2 linked regions of the Oreochromis niloticus genome follow. The protein of the gene in region 1 purifies or fractionates together with the protein of each later gene. This does not show direct contact. Links are inferred from orthologs where the notes say so. Each region holds a gene or a part of one and is shown in the gene's direction. Other genes may lie near its edges. The genes, in order: med20 and cdk19.

Region 1 (10,296 bases):
TTCAGTTTCCCTGTCGTGACTGAATCCATCATTTTTGCATGCAAAATTTGCCAAAGGTTAGTGAAATCTATTCCTCCCAGCTTACAAAGATGCTGCCAATGACAAGATCTCTTCTGTGCGTCAACAAAGGAAAACAGTACAATCACACCAATCAGTTAAAGCTTCAAGCAGCTGCTCGGCAGTCATGTGGGTGTTTTGCTTTCTGCTCAGCATATGTGCAAATTTATGGAGATGTTCTCTTCCAGGACTTGTCCTGACTTCACAGATGCCCTTTACTTTGAATTCTTAAGGATATTTCAGAAAGTGAAAACTGAAACTTGGAAGTTCTTTGACATTTTACAAATTCTTCATCCCTACATAGTTAATGCAACACATTTGTTAAAATGCTCAGCAACCCAAGTAAGGAAATCCTTGTTGTGTTTTCAGAGGGAAAAACATTTCATGACTCATCCAAGTGACTTAGTCAGTCTCAGCCGACTGTAGGCATCTCCAGCACCACTGCATAACAATGAGCCACAATATCAGTTTCATTATAACTGATGTGCAGATTGTCATCACCATTAATTAAAGGCCATGGGTCCTATTCATGGGGAATTGAGGAATGGCTGCAATCACAGCACTGTAACAAAAGGAAAGATGTACTTTTATGGCCTCTCCTTCTCTTTTCATGTGAATACTGTTTATGAACATGTGTGTGTCATATGAACACACAGCATTTTGAAAATATGCATTTCAGTGTTTCAGCTGAGACACATGTGGCTCACCAGTGGTTTTCCCTTAGACAAAACCTACTGGTTAAACCCCTTGAATTAAAGCTGAAAGTCTCCAGTGTTTGATTTAGGATCTCACTGTAGTGGTGCAAGTGTCCAAATACTTATACTAACTGTGCAGGCTGACCATACTCTGTATGATGCTGGCCATTGCAAAGCTACAGTCTGTTTCTAAGTGCATACTGTTCATTAGATCACCTAAGAGTATGCAGTTAACGCTCCATATTCAAATCATTCCTGCTCATGAAACTGAAATTGCTGTTAGAAACACTTTTGCTTTGACACTATACTCACATTTAAGATCCATGAGGAACGCCTCAAAGTAAATCTGAAAGTAAAACTTGGGATTTTTGTATGGAGACGAATCACATCTCTTTTCTGCTAGTCAAAGGATCTTTGTACAATCTAAGATTTTGTGTTATATGCATGATTCCCCCTTTACCTTGAAGCCTCTTTTTTTCCCTGCCCATCACAGTTCTTTTTGCTCAAAATATTATCTTGTATGAAAGGTTGGGATGGTCCACTTTATTTATAAGACATTAGAAATGGTCCAATTAGTTCTGCTTGTTTGTTACATTTAAATATAACACCTAGAATGTACAGTAACATTACATTTACATCTTATTCATTGTGAACCTGGAAATAAATGTATTTAAATCCTTTAGTTTGAAAAGACATGACTCTATATTACTATGATTACTATATTTCAGTAATCACTTCCACACACACACTTTTACTCAGTTCTGTCAGTCTGTTCTCAATCTTAAGTATTTATTATAATCCTCAGTCTCACCTTTAAACCATGCTCCCGGTTTGAACAGGGCCTTCTTCAGGGCGCTGTAGAGGTGAAAGTTGAGTCGCTTGTATTCTGCAATATCATCCCGTACTCGAGGTAGCAGCACTAAGTTGTAAAACCTCTGGGCCATTCGCTCTTTCAGATTGGACGAGAATATCCTTTAAAAAGAACAAGGAAAAATACTTCATTATATCACTTAAGAGAACTTGCGGAAAATTGATCATCACAAAGCGCATCAGCTCAAAGTTTACCTCGTCGCCTGGTACATAGCAGCTGCGGACCAGGAGTCGGGGTCAGTCAAATACAAAACCTGCTCCCAGTTTGAAAGCGCCGGTATTATTTTAAAAGCCTTTGGCAGTTTGCCGCTGCGGTATTTCAACAGAACCTGAGGCAGAAGAAGAGAAAGGACAACTTTAAACACGTCTCCATTAACAAAAACACACCTGCTATACAAGCAGTGTCTACAAACTCCCCCTCTGCTCGATATGATATGCATGACTAACCAGGCCAGTGGGCTTCTCCACTTACTGTGTCCATTTTCCTTTAGTTCGTCTCCCAATTAGTTCACGTGTGGTGGGCTTGAAGTAAACTTACCTTACCGACACCTCTGTACACTTCTGTTATTCTTGGGTCCAGCTGTGGCATCGGACACCCAGAAACCTCTGACATCACCGTGCCCACCTCTGTCTGCTTCTCTGTGATCTTCTCCATAATGATGTCAGCTAACGTCCGTCTGCAAGAGCCACAAAGAAACGAGCTAGTGGTTTGCCGACCAATCCAAATATCGATACCAGTGCTGGTATTGGTATCAGATCAATACCAGCACAATATGATCGATAATTTGTTTCTATCCTCCATGTTCATTATGTAGCCGACTGAATTATGTTGGATAAGTTATGTTTTGGAAATGAAAAACTATGCTTCAAACATGCACTATGAACCTTGTTGTGTTGATTGCAACAAGAGAACTGGATCCAAAAACCCACATTAACATTACAGCTCTAAAAAACAAAAAAATAATAAACAAGTTTCAAATTAAATGAAAAGTTAAAAAGATGTGCTTTGGTGTTTTAACTAATTATTATGGAAAGAAGAAACCAGTGATTTAACGGTCATTAAAATATATTTAGAATTTGCAAATTGATGGCGACTCCTTTATAGGTTAAAAGTGCTGGTATTGGCTCGATACTAGGGCGATATGGCCTAAAATCCATATATAACAATATATATCGCGATATATTCTTTTCTTCCGTATTTTCGCACTATAAAGGCGAACTTAAAATCCTTTAATTTTCTCAAAAATCGACAGTGCGCCTTATAATCCGGTGTGTCTTATGTATGAATTCTGGTTGTGCTTACTGACCTCAAACCTATTTTATGTGGAACACGGCGCTCAAAAATCTGTCAAAAATGTTTTAGTACGATTTTGGTAAGCTACGAAGCCGCACCGCTTGATGGATTTTCGGAGCATTACAGCTGCCGCAGTCAGGAGCCTGGCGGAGTAATCTGGGTCCAAAACTCCGTCTGCTTCAGGTCCCAAAGCCAAATGAACGCTGCGACATCACTGAGCATTAAAAACTGTCTAAATTCTTTCATCTTTAATAAAATGATCAGCGTTGCTTCTTTACCAGGTGTAACAATTAAGTTTAACATCCAGGCATCCATGAAAACCGAGCAGAGTTAGGAGTTAGGAAGGAAGGAAGCTCGCTAGTTTCCACCTAAACATGATATAGCATGTTCTGACAGAGAGGTTTCTGAAAAAATTCAAACGTACAGCTCTGCTATCACTTCCAACATAAGCGAAGACAGAAAACTAAACAGCAGTGACTTTTGTAGGGTTACTGAAGCATAATGATGTGCTACATGATCGCTAGCAACACAGCTATGTTAGCATAACATAAACAGTGAAGCTGGAGGATGAACGCCAACTTTTTTCCACTCGATAAAAGTTAACGTGAGGGTCTGACGGTTAGGGACAAATGCATGGCAGGATGCTGTAAATGGACCAAACTTCAGTCAGGACAACAACTGAGATAATCCATCCACAATACGAGGTTAGTTATTAGTATACTGCAACAACATGGGTATAGAGCAACTGCGAGAGAATTCAACATTAATGAATCAATGGTACGGAAGTGGAGGAAGGGCAGTTTTTGCCTTTCCTCATATTCCAAAACGTGCTTCATTTCTTCGCTATTACTGTCGCCCAATTTGCAGATGACATTGCTTGCAGCCGCTGCGATGCTTTCGACCAAAACAGGCGCAGCTTGATGAAACCATCAACATGCGCTATCGCTGCAGAGCGGTATAGTCAAAATCTCTACCGTTGGCCAAATTCATATCGTTTCTACCGTATACCGTTTATACCGCCCACCCCTACCCGATACCAAACTTTCCACTATTGCACAGCATTAATACAAACACAAAGCCAAGGATTTGCTGAGCTCGCAGCGCCTGAAGTTAAAGCGACGGTGTAGCTCACCTCACTGGTGGGTTTTTGTTCATGAACATCTCGATGGCCTTCTCATCTTCAGCGTCAACAACGATTTCTGTGTCGTACTCAACATCTGCAGGATCTGCTGCTCCCAGCGCCGGCCATTCTTCATCCGAGTCAGCATCCTGAGAGTCAGGCCCTAAAATAAGATTACAAGACGGAGATGGCTCATTAGAAGATCACACTGAAATGTTTTAGGTATAAATATTTTAGTTAAGTAAGGTTTCTTGATAAAGACAATCACAAGGAAAGATTTTACACTGTAACATGGATTCAACATGTGTTGCACTACTATGTATTTGTGTGAAAAACTCCTGGGTCATTTAACAATAGGAGGACAATTCAGGCTTTAAAAATATCTTATTATTTTATAATATAATATGTGTTTAAGAAAAAAATAAATATTAAATATGTCCAGATCAGGGATTAAAGATAAACTTTTTATGATATTTTAGTTTCTGTACGCATCTCTGCAGCCAATACTTCAGAACCCGAAAAAGTAGATTAAAAAATATTGTTTAATAAATTCTTGAGCATCTTTCACACTTGATAACAGATAACACTCAATTTTTATTCATTTAAGCAACTTTCAAAACCTACCAAATTTTCAATATGTACTTTTTTTTGGTAATTTCAGTATTCATATTTATATCTGTGCTCAAATAACACTATTCATGTAATAATTAAAGCAGTTACAAAGGCAGCAGATTAACAGATCAAACCCTTGTGAGCTAATAAAAACATTTATGACAATTTTATTAAAAATGATATGATCAGGGCTAAAAAAAAATTAGTAGTGTAACAGGGTTGCACATGATATAAGGGCTGAATGGATATATTACTTTTATTTATAGATTATGACATACCTGCTACAAATAAATATCCAGGACCAGAGAAATGCTATTTAATGATATTTTATGTTTTAAAGTGTGCTTGTGAGAGTGTATTTTATATGTATAGTAACAAGGCTGCAAGTCAGAGCTAGTATTAGTTTTTTCTCATGAAAAGATCTGTGCTGTGGAATGTTGTTGATTATGAAAGTTAAGGACAAATATAGGTATATAAACAAAAGAAGAAAACTTTTTAATTGATTTGTCTCCTTTTGATGACCAAAAGCGTAAGTAGAAAACATCAAACTACGTTGATTACAGCTACCTAATCTAGTCAGAAAACATTGAACAAATGCGATGTGTGTCAAAGCCAACTGACTTTTGATCTCCCCATGGTGTTAGCACTTCACTCGCCAGACTCCATTCAAATATCTGCCAATTTAAGGATAACTACAACACCAATCCAACATTACCGAGAACAGTGACTGGTGCTTTCTTCTTCTCTGGTGCCAGCCCATATTCGGTCTGAAGTTCCTCTTGTTGAATGCGGGCTTGTTGTAAGATTTTCCGTGACAACCGCTCGTCCACGTACTTGTCGTCGCTTTCTTCCCGGGTGTCTCTGATCTTAACCCGGCCTTTAGCTCGGACAATGTCCGCCTGCAGGATCTGGTCGGCCAGCGCCACCGGCGCGGCTCCGCTCTTCTCTCCTCCACCTTTGGACCGTTTGACTTTCGGCATCGCTGCGGTTTTACTTCAGCTGTGACCACAGTGTGGATGTTTCCGTGGACATGTGCGAGCTACAGGACAGACTTTACCAAACACTGTAAACAGTCACTGCTTCAACACGTGCGCAGGTCCGGCAAGAAGGAAGTGACGCATCGCACTCACGTAACATCCAGCTTTCGGCGACCACTTCAGAAAAAAAGTACAGCAAAGTCAGTTGACTGTTTCATTGTGAAATGGTGTTAATATTCACCATTCTTTATTATAAATAATATTTTATTTTATTTTTATTTTTTCTGTTGTTTTCTTTTACTGTACCGGAAGGCGTTTTGTTTAACCCGGAAGTGCTCAAACACCGTACTACAAGTGAAGAGAGGCAAAACATCAATGGGTGTTACTTGGTAAGGTGGTTTTTAAACCTACGTTTGATTTTAAACGTTTTTTAACCACTAAATATTCAAACAGATTTGGCCCAGCCTCAACCACCCTGCGTGTTTTTTTCTCATTGATCCGCGGAGGCGTGGCTCTGTCTCATTCAGCAATGCTGGTAACGTTACACGGAACAAAGTGTATGCTGGTCCCTCAAGTCCTCTGCTTGCTGTGCCCCTCAGTGTGTGCCAGGTGCCCGTGGCGGAGGGGAAGAGCGTGCAGCAGACTGTGGACATGCTGCACAAAAAGCTGGAGCAGCTGGGCGCCGTGAAGCAAGGCAGCTTCTGCGTGGACTGCGAGACTTACCATGCCACGGGAAATTCCAGCAGTAATATTTTTTTATCTGTTTGTTTCTGAGCTTTAGAATTCAGATTTATAGATCACATTAATGCAGACGTATTGCACTCACCCATCAGGTTGACCTGATGTCCCTGTCTAGGTGGGGCTGCAGAGTATTTTATCCCCTTTTCGTGTGATTGTTTGCAAAGAAAAAAAGATTGCCGGTATTTGAACTGTTTTAAATGACTTATTGGCCTATAATCTCTCAAACAGATCTCTCATGAACGATACTGAGTCATTTTGAGTCAGAAAGAACATTTCTATCACAAAGCAGAACTTGTTTTTTTGCAAAGTGATTTTCATATTTCCCTTATTTATCCAGCTAAAAGTGTCACTGACATAAAAAAAAAAAAGTCTAGAGAGATCTGGCAAAGAGGGCAAGAGAAATTGTGACAAATATAACATCAAAATTCTATAAAGGACTAGATAAGCACTAGATAGATAGTAAGGACTAGATTGACTATAATATAGGCACAATAAAGGCAGGATAACATATAACATATAACCCCCCCCCAGAAATGTCACTTTTTTTGTCACGCGAGCTGTGGCTCAGCTGGTAGAGAGCGTCATAGATCCCCATCTCCTCCAGTCTGCATCCTGAAGTATCCATGGGCAAGATGCCGAACCCTAAGTTGCCCCTGATGCATCCATCTGTGGGTGTGTGTGTTTGTGTGTTAGAAAACACTTAGGCATAGACAAAAACACTGTATGAATGTGAGTGTGAGACTTGTAGTAGGAAGTGCTTTGAGTACTCAGCTACATTAAAACGAGCTATATAAGTACTGGTGTACTGGTTCAATTTCCAGTTTGATTGGCTGTAGTTAGGCCAAAACAGTAAGGCAGTCACTTTTATTGGGAATTTATGCTTCTGATGTGCACCTCCTTAGAAATGTTACTACGAGTTCCATCGACATACGGTTACTGTCCTCTTCAGTACCGCTGATTCCTCCTGTGCGTCTTTGGCTACTTTTCCGCCACAGTTTTTGAATTTATCTGTGGGAGAATAACAATTATCATCAGTATAAGTAATAGTTATATATCTATATGGCCAGAAGTCTTTTTCCTTCCTCTTTTAGCTGTTTCCTTTAGATGTCACCACAGATCATCTGCCTCTATCTCACCCTTGCAGCTTCTTCTGTCACACCAACCATCTACATGTCCTCCATCACTACATGCATAAATCTCTTCTGAGGTCTTCCTCTTTTCCTCCTGCCTGGCAGCTCCTCTGTCTTTAACATCCTTTGCCCAATATATCTACTATCCCTCACTGTACACGTCAAAACCTCAGGTGCAAATCTCAGCCTTGCCTCTCTAACTTTGTGGAACTTTCATTTCCTTCCTCATCTCACCTGACAGTTTTAAGTGTTGTCTGTCCGTTGTAGGTCAGCCCTCCAAGCTCCTGTATGTGATGCACAACTCCGAAACCCCCCTGAGCTGCTTGGCTCTGTTTGAAGGTGGACCCTGCCTAATAGCGGATGCAAATTTTGATGTCCTCATGGTGAAGCTGAAAAGTCACTTCCAGAATGCCAAGGGACACAAGGTGGAGTCTCGTGGTTCGAGGTATCGCTACTGCGACTTCTTGATAAAAGTTGGTACCGTGACGATGAGCTCCAGTGCCAGAGGGATATCAGTAGAGGTGCGTGTGTGTATATATATATATATGCTGTGATAAAGACGAGTCACGTCCTTCTGCTTTCTCTCCGTGAGGCGCTAACTCCTGGCTTGCTTCCTCAGGTGGAGTACTGCCCTTGTGTCGTTCCTGGGGACTGCTGGAACCTCATGAAGGAGTTTATGCAGTCCTTTCTCGGCCCCAGCGTCCCTGAACTGCCATCTGTGTTTGCTGCCAAGCCCGAGGGACTCTTTGCACCAGCAGACTGTGTTGACACCATGACTCAGTACCTGGAGTTGTTCAACAAACTGCGCAAGCTGCAAATCCCTGGAAGCAATGTGCGCTGAGTTTGCAACAAAGATATCTGTTTTTTTTCTCTCCATGTTTGTACAGATGTTGGTATATTCCTGGTCCTATGGATCAGCGTTAGTACCCAGGCATTTTTTATTTTTTTGAACGTCTGGGGTTTTATTATCATTGCAGAACTTCACGTTAGCGTTGGATGAAAGCATTTGCAATAAAGAGACACAGTGAAAACAAGTAGTCAGAGTCTCTGAGCGTTCATACTGCGATGCCCTTTTGATGGTGCACTTTTATCTGAGAGTAGAGACACGAAGTATTCATTGATTTCTTGCTAGTTTACACAGGGATGAACCAATTTATCAGCTGAACGCTGGCCCTGTTGACTGTCAACTGATCTGATGACGTTTATCGGTGAGAGAGGTCGATTTTTATCTGTTGCATCATCTAAGTTTTGCGCTGGCTTAACGTTTAAAGATGATGTCACAAGGAGGTGAGAGATTTTTCTTTTCAAACAATCAAGTTTTCTTTGTTTTTCTCTGTCAGAAAGACAGGAATGAATGAACTAAACGTTGACTACAGGCCCAGGAATTTCACAGTCAGTCCAATCCCAAGGTTTATGCAGTTGGATTAGTGTTCCAGTATTAGGTGGAGGCTAACAAGTGAGGCTTGTCCTTACACGTGTAATGATTTTACAGTGGAAATGCTTTATTAGATTACAAAGAAGTATCTGTGCAGGTATCTTAGGGTGACAGTAAGTTAGATTGTTTATGTTGGATTGTTTAAAATGTCCAAAAGACTGGATCTAGCTTCTAAAACCTGAGAATTTAATTCTGTTTATAGATACTACATACTACATTATCTACAATAATCTGAAGATCTCACTTATGCTTGGCATCGAGTGGACTCTTATGTTAGAGCAGGAAAAAAAAGTAAAAAATGCAGAACAATGTCCTATTAAATTACCAGTAATTGGTAATTGTATTTAAAAAAAAATATATAATTCAAGTGTCCTACTAAATCACGATAATTACTATTGTTAATATGGTTATTTTTATCCATGCGTCTCCTAATCTCATGTGAAAAAATCCTGGATATCCAGCGTAACCACAACTGTAATTAAAGCTGATAAAACTGACATGACTTCTCTTTTAGGACTTGTGATATGTTATTCAGCTTTCAAACTCTCCCTGAATGCTGCACATTTCTTCCAGGCAGCGGCTTTCTTTTTATGTTTAAACTTGAATTACACTGATTTGCGCTGACGCATTTTGAAAGTAGTCCCTCCCCACGACAGCATCCAAAGGAGATGCGTCTCATAGGGCGCTTAAAGCTACACACACGCACACTACACGCGCGCGCCTCAGGTGTATTTTACCAGATTAACCCTACCGAGCTGACACATGGCGCGCACGGGGTTTAACGGGGACACCGGGGATCAGGGGTAGCGGCTGTCCTCTTAAACCCGGCTTCCACTCTGGCCTCCGTTATTGTTCCATGTGGCCGCTGTGGGTGGACGGACGGACGGTCCATCCTGCTGCCTGTTGTTCAGCCCTTCCGCCAATGAGAGCCCGTCTCCCGCTCAGCCCCAGTCCAATGAGAGCGGCGGGGTCTGTGCTCGGATCGAGAGTTGGGTTGTTCAATCTGTGAGGAGGACAACAAGCAGCTCTCTGAGTGTACACCGGATGGATGGATGCTGGCGATGGTAACGTTACCCAGCTTTACCATTATCAGGTGTTGCAAATATAGTGAGGGGCACGGATAGGGCCGAGAGCCGCGTTTCAGGAGCCGGCTTCCTGCGGTGAATGTCACCGGGTAGTTTTTTTTTTTTTTTAACGGTTAACGGCGCAGTTTGCTAGCGTTAACGTTAGCGACCGACGGCAGCCGTTAGGTTAACTTCGATTGTCCTCAACAAACAGGTTAGCAGCTTAGCTAACGTTAGCAACTGTGGCGAGCAGATAACGCAAATTGTTAGCTGCTTGGAGCCAAGCGAATAAATCCGTGTT
Region 2 (10,892 bases), on another chromosome or scaffold:
TGCTTGAGCGTGCAACTATGATGAAGAAACAAAACGCCACTCACGTCAGTCTTCATCCCGTTCATTGAGTATCCACAAGGGTTGAACATTGTGGCATCAATCACAGAACCTGGTATCAGGTCACGAATTCCACTCATCTGCGAGAACAGAAGGAGACCGTGATTACACATGTTCAACTACCACCATATGCTTGTTCTGGGGGGAAACTTACACGAGTGACCTCACTTGCGGAAACACCGTCTTTCATGTAGAACTGGTCCATGATGGCTGGATCAAGGTCGCTCATCAGAACTTCCAGCGTCTGATCAGCATACTTGTTCTCCCAGTACTCTGGCATATCCAGAGTAAACAGGTACCTGTGGGGGACATGCAGGGGGGCTTAAGGAGTTTCAAACCAGGAGGATGCATGGAGCTGCTACCTATGAGAGGAGGCCTTGAACATCCTTTCAATTTAAGCTAAAGGCTTTTCACCTCCCCCACGAATTGGCATCTTGTTGTCACAGACACCAACATTCACTGACAAGTGCTGCTCCAGAAACAAGTATTTGATTATAATTTCATGACTGAAAATCTTGACCATCTTAGCTATTAGCATATTAAGCCAGTGTGGCATATTTTAATGCTCACCAGCAGTCAGAGTTCAAACGTCCCATACAGTAGGCTGCACCATCTGTAAAAGGAGGGAATATTATGGTTACCGTTTGAAATCAATTCAAAAACATTAGGCAGCTCTGAAGAGGAGCCAGATGGTGACAGTAATTCTTCAGGATTCACCACAACAATAAAATTAAGCTACATAGAATTACAACATTCTGTTATAACACTGAATTTCATTGTCCGAACAGCTACAGTATAAACAATGCACTCCACTGTGTCAGTATTACAAGCAACATTCAACATATGTTCTTAAATGATTGGTTAATGCAAATCTTAGGGTTTTTTTTATACACCAGGTAATCAATCAGAATCAGGGTCTGTCTCATGATTGGATATTTAAAGGTTCGCTGCCCCTGCTAGTCAGTGCCAAACTGTTGTTACTTTATTCATGAGGGTAAATGGATGACAGCTATGTTAAGCAGTGCTGCTCTGTAGTTCTTTTGTGCTAAAAAGCTGCATGTTGGTGTTGTCAGAATAAACTATAGAACTAAGTTGTCAATCTTAGAGTGGGAGAATCCTACTGCTACTAGCACCGCTAAGGTTATGTTTGATCAATGAGGAATGTGCTAATTGCTTAATACAGCTAACACATGAAATGTTTGTTGGTCAAAGTTTCACTTTCATCATTTAAAGTGTGTTTGGTTTCAATTTTTTGTGGGGGGTAGGGGTTGAGGAGTTCTGTCTTTTATATTAGTCAACTAGTCCAGCTTTTTGTTTAAACAACTAGCAGATTGTTTGCCAGGAGCAGCCATAACCCAGGAACTGTCCTGGGCATTTTCCAGCTATAAATTCAGACCATCGGGGATTTAACAGACTGTGCTGCAAACACCCTTTACTTGTGTGTAACACATTTCAGAGTTTCATGTATCACGTACTGGGAAAAATCTGGCTGAGGAAGTCCACTTCTTCCTGGAAGTTTCGATGAGGGAACTCTTGATGGGCTGGTTTCATGAAGTTCTTACGGGAGTAGAAGAAATTCTGCAAACGAGACACTAATGAATAAACCTGCGCAACTAATCAGCTTCATTGATACAGCTCGTTCAGGTTGAGATGAAATAAGCTTTGTCATGCAAATGCTAAACCAGTCTAACCTCAATGGTGTCGAAGCCACAGTACTCCCTGGCGAGTTCCAGCAGAGGCACCAGTGCTTGCAACAAGAGGGTGGTTCCGCATGTCTTCAAAATGAAACGTCTCTTGGAGACAAACATGCTACTCTCACTGTAGAGACAAGAAAGGAGTTAGTCACCAATAACCACAGAGCATTGTTTCCCTCATTACATTCTATGATACAGAATGATGATTAAGTAAGCCTGGTATCTTTGTAATATCTACAAAAGGTCATGTGAAGGCTTTCCCCCCCTCTTTTTTATAAACAAAAAGGACAGGTGAGCAAAAGGAGGAAGGGAAAAAAGCCACACCCTAGTTCCCATTCAACTTGTCATACTTGTTTGATTACCCAAGATGAGTGTAGCTTACTGGTTTCAGTTTAGGCTTCGTGTTAGTTTTATCTGACATGCCCATACTTGCCCTACCTTAACACAACTACACACTTATCTAAGGACTGCATGTGGCATGTAGAGTACATGCCCATATTGGCACCTGAGACTGCCATTAATGGAAATTAGGTTAAGGTCTATTTGGGAAGACTTTCTGCATGTATGAGCAGGCACTCACCTGAGTATATAAGCTTCCTGCTTGTCGGTCTTTGTCACACTTATTATCAAACAATGCACATTTTCCAAAAGTTTGTCCCACTCAAACCTGAAAGAAAAAGAACAAGTTAAATGCATACAAAGACAAAGTTGTTCACTTTTGTGGTCATTTTAAAGTGGCACCCACTACACGAAAGAACTGTTGATGGTTATGTAACATGGACAAGTTTGGAATGCTTTCAGGATTTTGAAGAGAAATGTCTATGAAGCTTGCTGTAGTCTTTACGCTGAAAAAGTAAGTGCATATAACAATTTCAGTGCTAGAGTATGCTGTGGGCATACAATACTGACATATCAATGGAGGTATTGTTCAGACTGAAATGTGTTTTCAGTCATGTGCAGATGGCTGTAGGGAAATGTGGACTTATTCTGCTCCTACAGCAGACATACACCTTCTAGCAGCTGCCTCTGCCCCCCGAACACCACCCAGACAGCTGGGTCACATTACAACCTTGGAAGAACAGCCAGACCCACTCACAGTGGGGGCCTGGGCTGCAAGGCAAAGCTTCCAAGAGGTAAAGTGTTCGATGAAAGCATACCAGCAGCTCAATAATGAATGCTTTATGAAACTGGCTTTTCTAGAGAACCTCTCAAAAACAAATGCCCCTGAGTAACCAGACTGCAGCAGTATGCATGAAGGCTGTGGGCAAAATGCAAGACCCAATTATGTTCCTTTCTACCTTGTCAATCTACAAATGAACTAGATGACTGAGGAAAAACAAAAAAACAAATAACCAAATAACAATGCATCCCTCAGACATGGTTCTGAAGACACCAAATTCAAGAATAGTACAATTTACACTGCAGCCTTTTGCATTTGAGCCTAATGGTCCAAGAAACTAAACTACAAATATGTTTACTACCTTCCAGTGCCACAAACACTTCATCTAATCCCTTAACAACATTGTCCTCAGAGAGTGACAGGCTTACGTCATCTGTTGTGTACATCACTTCCTCCCCCCTCCCGGGGGGGGGGCAGTATGGTATCACTGAGTCAAATGTGCTCCAATATCAAGTTTCAAATAAGGTCAACACATGAACAAGTAATCAGTTTTCAACTTCCAGCTCTGTATACTGTGTGAGCCCAAAACACCACCAATATAAAAATCTGGTTTTTAGTTTGTGCATAAGAAAATTGTATAAAAGGATGTGAAGGATTTCCAAACTGCACGTCTCAGAAGACAAAGGTCCTGCACTGAGGACCAACATTGGAGCAAGATGATATGAACTCTAAATCATGCTATAAGCTACTCTAAATATGGAACTGCAGGCGATGTGCCTTTAAGATGGCTTTGTTATACACAAGCTTCTCTTTGGCATTGTCCTCAATGCAAAGACTCAACATCTTTAGTTTGCCATCAAGGCCAAGCCTGATGAGAATGGGAGCATATAGTGCCATCTAAACTCTACTTAATCATATTTATATCATTTGCAATGTCAACAGTGTATTTGGAAGATGAACAAAGGCATTACAGGTATGTCTGGATACAGTTCAGCTCGATCACTTCCCGCAACATGACAGAGCTGTTACGACATGCCTACTTCCCAGCTTCATACCAGAGGCCAAGCATTGGCAAGCTGTGTCAGCTCCTGCCTCGGTGTGAAATCGACACCAGAGGTTATTTCTAGCTGTGCAACAAGACAATATTTTCCTCAAAGAAAGCAAAGTGCCAAACACGATCAGAATTTTCATGTATCCCAGAGATTATGAACACATGGCTGATCAAGACGGCACATGTTGGAACAATTGCTGCTTATCAGACAGAAAAGTGGTCACTTACTGGATGGCTTGAACACCGGGAACACTGCATTTCAGGTGTTTAGAGGTGAATATGCTGTGACTTTATGAACTAGTCACTCCTACAATCACTGGAAGTGTTTCATATGCAGTCTGAACCCTGACAAGGGGCAGCAGAGGTAACGTGAGCGAGCGAGCTTCACATTTGTGAATCCGATGCCCTTGTGGTCTTATTTGGACATTGGCTAACGTCCATCGAGTCTGATCCACTGACAGTGTCCCTTTGAGCCGTTAATCTGCCCTCTGGCTGTAAATTAATGCCAGCTCTCCTTCACGCCAATGGTTACACACTTGTCATAAACCAGCCCCTGATGTGGTTAACGACCAGAAAAAGTCACCCATCGCTGGGGATGATTTGGCCCCCTTGAACCAGTCATGAAATGACATGCTGCCAGAGGGGGAAAAAAAAACAAAAAACAAAAAAAACACCACACTAAGCAAAGGCAACAGACACCATTGACACTTTCACTTACATTAAAGAATCAGTACCATTCTTACCTCTATAGGTGACATAACCCAGGCGATTTTAAACAATCTATTAGTTTTACTGGGACAAGTTCCTCTAAAGTCTTGGAAACAAAAAATTGATTACGACACACGGTACAAGTCTGCCTGTAAGGGTTTCTCCTCGTTAAAGGTTGTTTAAAACGTGCATTTCAAATCAGCTAATTTTCCTAGCAAGCAAAAACCGAATTTCTCACAAGAACTGAATCCACATGGATTTTTCAGAATCTATCGCCACCCCCTGTCCTTAAACGTAACCAAGTGCCCCGCGGCACAACGTAACAGGGAACCCTCTAACCAATCAGAGCAACTGGGAGCGAGCGCACCGCATGGCCGAAAACGTGACCGGAACACGACCATACGCAGTTTCTCTCTGGTTAAACGCACAGCGGTAACAGACATGGGGCCAGCCTGTAGTATCCACAAGGGCAGAGGGACGGGTTCACGGTTTTCCCCAATCACTTATGAGCCTTCAAAAGTAAAGAATTTATTTTTTTTTTTAAATTAAAGGTGGAATTGGAATACTTGAATCTATTTCCGTGCCAACAAGGCAACACGCGGTGACAACGGACGACCACATGTCTCACATGCCCCCCTCGTTGTAGAGTGACGCAGGAAAAAATAAAGCATATGTAATTACAAAGACCAAGCAATTTAGTGCATAAGAGCACGAATATATATATGTAGCAGTGAACGCGAATTGGCAAATAACGACAATATGATCGCCTCTTCACTAAATCACAAGCAGTCTGCACAGCGTCGGCGAAATCAGGAGACGGCTGACAATTTGAATATTTTTTCCTAGGGACTAGCTTGCGGTAGCTCTAAACTGGTTGCCATGGTGGCGTCCAAGCCTCATGCGACAAATCAACTTGCAAAAACAAGCGATGGGAGCCGAATATATTAATTACCGCAAGCTCCCAGGGTGAAGAATGAATGACTCAGCCACTGTTAAAAGGGGGAGGTGGCCATTTTCCAATGGCGACGTTAGCTAGCTCCCTAGCTTAAGGAGCCACGGTTAGATTTGGTTCACTTCAATGCTTGCAGTCTATCCAGGGGTGGATTAATAACTATAATGAATACAGTGTCAACGGAAACGGGACGTGTACGATATTCAAGTTGTTATACATCACAAAAAGTGACAACTGAAGCCGTGCATGTAGCCGGTGTTTCTGTCAATGTACCAATACGCTGCTGTGGACTGACACTGCCTCGGAGATACTCAAGTGACACGAACCTTGGGATGGTACGGAGGTCTCCGTTTCCTTTGGTCTCATCCTGCCGAGAGAACCACACCTCCAACAGCTTCTCGGTCCCCTCGAAGAAATGTGCACCGTTATCTTCCATCGTGAGACAACAGACACCCAACAACCAAAAATATTACAACGTCGTTTAAAACGTTTACAGCTTAATTACTCCTTCCTCGACCTGTTATTATTTAGTGAGGTTCAGTCCTTTAAACAATCCAGGAGTTGATTTGCTTGAGTTACCGTCTTCCCTTTAGCAGAGAATACCGTTAGCGAGCGCTAGCTAATATCGCCGGCCATACTGTGTAAGCGCTGAATGGAGACCGCGCGGTGCTTTTATTTGGCAGTAGCCCTACGTAAGCCTCACCTCGAGCCAATCTGAACGCAAAGCCATATCTTGGGATTTGTGATTGGTCAGAAACCTATCAATTATAATAGAAGGCGGGTCTTCCGCCATGAAACTTTTCCGCCTGCATGTAGCTTTCCTCTGGAAATAAATACTAATTATATATATAAACAGCAACGTCAATAACATTACATGATATCTGAATTTAAGTTTACGAAGGCGAGTATGACAGTTGACGGCATGTTCGTGTAAAAGTCCTTTTCTGACAAGTTTTCTTCTGTTCACGACGATTACGTAACTGCGTTTTTTTCTAACACATGCCATTGTGTTTACTTATCACATTAATGTTTCGTTTGTACGCTCTCTCTTTTTTAAGATGTGTAATTTGTTTTTTCACTTAATGGTACTATAATACTAATGTTAAACTGCGAATATCAAATATAAACCACTTAAATGAGAATATGACCAAGTTGTTAAATTGGATTGAACTAAACTGGACTGCGCAGGTATTCATTTTAGCAAAAGAGTGTACTCATAGAAGGAAAATAGGTGAAAGAAATCCCAAAGGATAATAAATATCTACTGTATGTGTTACAGGACTTACTTGTCTCATCTCATAGTATTCAGGGCAGTGGGAACTCACACATACAATTGTCACCCAATATAATTACAGTAATTAAGTATGAATCACATACATATGACATGACATCACTACATCTGCATATACAGGTGTGTGTGCATGTCAAAAACCTATCGATTATTATAGAAGGCAAGGGTCTTCCATCATGATGTTTTGTTTTTTCATAACCTGTATTTATGGAAGACATTTCATATCTTTACCGCTGTAACTGCACTAAACAATTTTCTTCTTTTTCTTCTTTTTGGCTGACTGTAGTTCACAAAAGTAAAAAATCAATCTGAATCTCAAAAGAAAACTGTCATGGTCTCCGTGCCTGCCCGACCGGCCCCACAAGGCTACAAGTTCTCTCTCTCTCTCTCTCTCTCTCCCTCTCTGACTGGGCGGAGCTCACTGTGGGCTCCCGCCCTTGGCCCACACACCTGACAACAATCACCTGTCATCACCGGGAGCACTATTTGAGGCTGGAACACAGATTCTCTCGTCGCTGGATGATTGTACTACAGACGTTAGTGTTTCTCACAGCTCCTGTGAACCTGTGCTTAATAATTTGAGATTCGTGATTAGTTTGTGACTTCCCTTCTCTTCTGCTTCAGACCTTCCTCCTCGGACCTGTGACCTCCCTGCCGTGTGAGTGTGGGCAAGAAGACGTGAGAGAGCTACCCTGTGATTCCCTGGAGTTTTGGATTCCCTTCACTGTATATATTGTGCACTGGTGCTGTAAATAAACTGTTTTTGGAGACGTCAAACCGCTCTGCCCCTGAGTTCTACAACCAGATTGTGACAAAAATTGTGTCTTAAAAAGAGATGCAGCGACCTCTTAAACCCTTAGATGCTTATCAGAAAAAACAGCAGCTAAAATAACAGTTAAGAAGTTGGAAAACTCATATTATCCCCCGAAAAAACAACCCCCAAAACACCCAGGATGTTTGCAAATATTCTTAGGTTACACATAGCACTTGATATCTTTAAACAATTTGTAATAGATCCCATACCCTTCGGATCACATTTAGTTTGGTGGGAAGTGGTCACTCTAACTATATTAAATAAATACACTGCATAAATACACATTTGTTCGGCTTTTGCAATACCATTATTATTACGACCATTAAATAATAATAATAATCCAGCCAACGAGGATCCGTTTAGCTCATTTACATTTTACGTGACGTTAAAAAAAGGTAACCTCAAACCACCGACGGCCGCATTTTTGAAGAGCTTTCATGAGTACGCAAAGTGCAACAAACAGCAGCGAGAAACGCGGGTTGTAGTTTGCCATAGCTTGCCTGACAACGCGGCGAACTGCGGCGCCTGCTCACAAGAACTACCATACCCAGCGAGCCACGCGCGCCAATTAGAAACGTCAACGAGCCAGTGAACATTAAGCGGAGCAGACCAAAATCCCAAACAAGGAAATGGTGGGGGAATAAAACGACCAGATTATTTAATTAATGCATGTTATAATTAATATTTTATTTTATTGTAAATTAAGGCGTATTTATGGGTTAAAATGGATTACGACTTCAAAACAAAGCTGGCGGCCGAGAGAGAGAGAGTAGAAGATCTGTTCGAATATGAAGGTTGCAAAGTGGGTCGAGGCACCTACGGGCACGTTTATAAAGCTAAGCGCAAAGACGGGTAAGATAACCGTGAACGTTATTGTGTATGCTGACATAAAACTGACCGCGGGATGCATTTTGTGAACACACGCCTCGGTTATGTGATGAACAGGGCGTTCGATTTGAAGCTCCCCGAAGCGATAGCCCGTGTCTCTGTGTTTTTGTTTTCATGTAACGCACTCACTCACCAACGGTCCCCCCCACCTCCTCCTCCGTCCCCAACCTCACAGCTCCCCCCTTTCCTCCTCCTCCTCCCCAACACCCCCAAACAACAGTGTAAAGCCGCGGTGCTGTTTATTTTCTTACAAGTGTCTTGTTGGCGGTCGCAGCAAAGGTAGCTTGCTTTTTGATGCACGGGTATCGTCACTTCGCGCGATAGTGACACCTCAGCGTCTTTTCTTGGCCCCGCTTTCAGCATTGTGGAATGCCAAACTTTTTTTCTCCCTCTTTCTGACACACATTGTTTTCTTTCTGTCATTTGCTGCTTACACTCACTGACAAGCATATGACAGCGTGTGACCACGATGTATATATCAGCAACAGAAAGCAGGACAGATACGTTCTCACATTTCTGCTCTGCTGTGCCAACGGTGTCACTGTTCCTTATGCAAACTGGCAAAATCCCAGTCCAAAAAACTGGCAAAATCCGGCCAGTGCGCATCCTATTTGAATACTACAAGTTTCATTTGTACGATAGCCAAGTGGTTAATCACTCTGATCTAAAAATTACATTCAAGAAAAGCACCGTTAACCAAGGGCACAGTGCATTAAGAGCTGATTTTGCTGCCCCCGTCTTACAAATGCTTTGTCATAAAGTTTTCTCGAAATCTGAGATGGAAAAACTAATTTTAAGCATTAGATGAACTTATTATACAGATGGCCCAATTTGACTTCTTCCCATGTAATACTCGTTTTAGAATAGAATAGAGTAGAATAATGCCTTTATTGTCACTATACAGTTGTACAGTGAGATAAAGAGCATCTGTAACTCAGTCCAAACATGTGTGTGTGTGTGTGTGATGGGGGGGGGCACAGTTCTGCAGCACTATATACATATGAACAGTATTAACAGAAAAAAAATGTATAAAAATGTACAAATATACAATCCGGTGTAAGAAGAAAAAAGTAAATATGTAAATAAATATTGTTTTTTCCAGTCATGGCAGATGGCTGTCTCTCCCTGAGCCTGGTTCTGGTTTCTTCCTGTTAAAAGGGAGTTTTTTCTTCCCACTTTTTGCTCAAAGGGGGTCATTTGATTGTTGGGTGTTTTTTCTATATTACTGTGGGGTCTTTAATCTTACAATATAAAACATCTTGGGGTGACTGATGTTGTGATTTGGCGCTATATACATAAAATGGAATGGAATTGAATTGTCAGTGTTGTTATAGCAAAGCAAAGCACTGTTTTATTACCAGTAGGAACAGTATCACTCCAATTAGATCCAACCTAAAAGGAATGTCACAGGGAACATCTAGCTTTTCCACATTGATAATAACCATTATCAAGTCAATATTCATAACTGGTTAAGAATACACGTGTAACAGTTGTTTTTTGTTCATGTTTGTATAGCTATGGTTATAAAATGTCTGCACCTCCATGCACTTGTATTTTGAATATGTTTTGTATTTTTCCAAAGAGATTAAAAAACATGAAATAAAGTTAAAGCTTTATTAGCTTTATTTCTTTCAAAGTTTTGTCTGTATTGCTATGATAATGCTAATGTGGCCACAACCTCTATAGACAACTCAAATAATAAAATTATTATTAACATTTTAAAATCTTTGTAATAGAATCAAATTAAAATTGACCCAAGCTGTTAAAGAAGGCCTTTTCATCTTCATTTACTTTGAGAATTAATGTATTAAAAACTTTTACAATCACACAGTGTCTTTAAAATCTGAAACAGTTCAGGTTTGTAGATCAGTCGGACTGTTTCTTCCTCACTGTGTTTGTTAATATTGCAATATTGTAACTTTATCAGCAGTGTAGATATGTTGGATTTAAACAAAGTGAGTCTAAAAGCAATGTTAAGCTACTTGACTCTAGTTTGGCCAATAGTATGTATGGAGTAACATAAAGTAGACAATTAACCACTGCTTTTGCATTAGTTAGTGGGCCGAGTTCATGAAAAACTAAGGGGGCATTAGTGCTTTCCAAACTATAAACTCATTGCAATTTGTCATTAACATGCTGAATTGTAAAAGTTGAGTCAAGGCTGCAGGGAGTATCTTGTTGTGTTCTCTTTCACATGGGCAGGATAATAGAGGTGTGATGCAAGGTCAAAAGGGGAGCACAGTCAGTTTATGGTCTGTCTTTTTTGTAGTGGTGATATCTGAGAGGGGATTTAAGGTTTGGCATAAATGGCTCTTTC

What was found.
Region 2: the proteins of med20 (region 1) and cdk19 purify together in Homo sapiens (affinity purification with mass spectrometry; 5 studies listed by BioGRID and IntAct, counting the BioPlex papers as one, with this or other methods). This does not show direct contact. The link is inferred for Oreochromis niloticus from reciprocal best matches to the Homo sapiens genes MED20 and CDK19.

What each region holds. Positions count from the first base shown.
Region 1 is NC_031970.2:21,833,470-21,843,765, forward strand, and holds med20 (mediator of RNA polymerase II transcription subunit 20), read left to right. Parts: upstream 1-5,851; 5' UTR 5,852-6,000; coding exon 6,001-6,014; intron 6,015-6,224; coding exon 6,225-6,370; intron 6,371-6,401; exon of another isoform or gene 6,402-7,374; intron 7,375-7,730; exon of another isoform or gene 7,731-7,763; coding exon 7,764-8,017; intron 8,018-8,115; coding exon 8,116-8,337; 3' UTR 8,338-8,533; downstream 8,534-10,296. Other genes in the region: bysl (bystin), read right to left, coding at 1,564-1,724, 1,818-1,951, 2,161-2,299, 4,049-4,199, 5,364-5,628. UniProt on the Homo sapiens protein: Component of the Mediator complex, a coactivator involved in the regulated transcription of nearly all RNA polymerase II-dependent genes.
Region 2 is NC_031980.2:31,092,473-31,103,364, forward strand, and holds the start of cdk19 (cyclin-dependent kinase 19), read left to right. Parts: upstream 1-6,384; 5' UTR 6,385-7,409; intron 7,410-7,497; 5' UTR 7,498-8,411; coding exon 8,412-8,539; intron 8,540-10,892. Other genes in the region: amd1 (S-adenosylmethionine decarboxylase proenzyme), read right to left, coding at 45-137, 212-356, 628-670, 1,533-1,635, 1,749-1,875, 2,332-2,418, 5,909-6,018.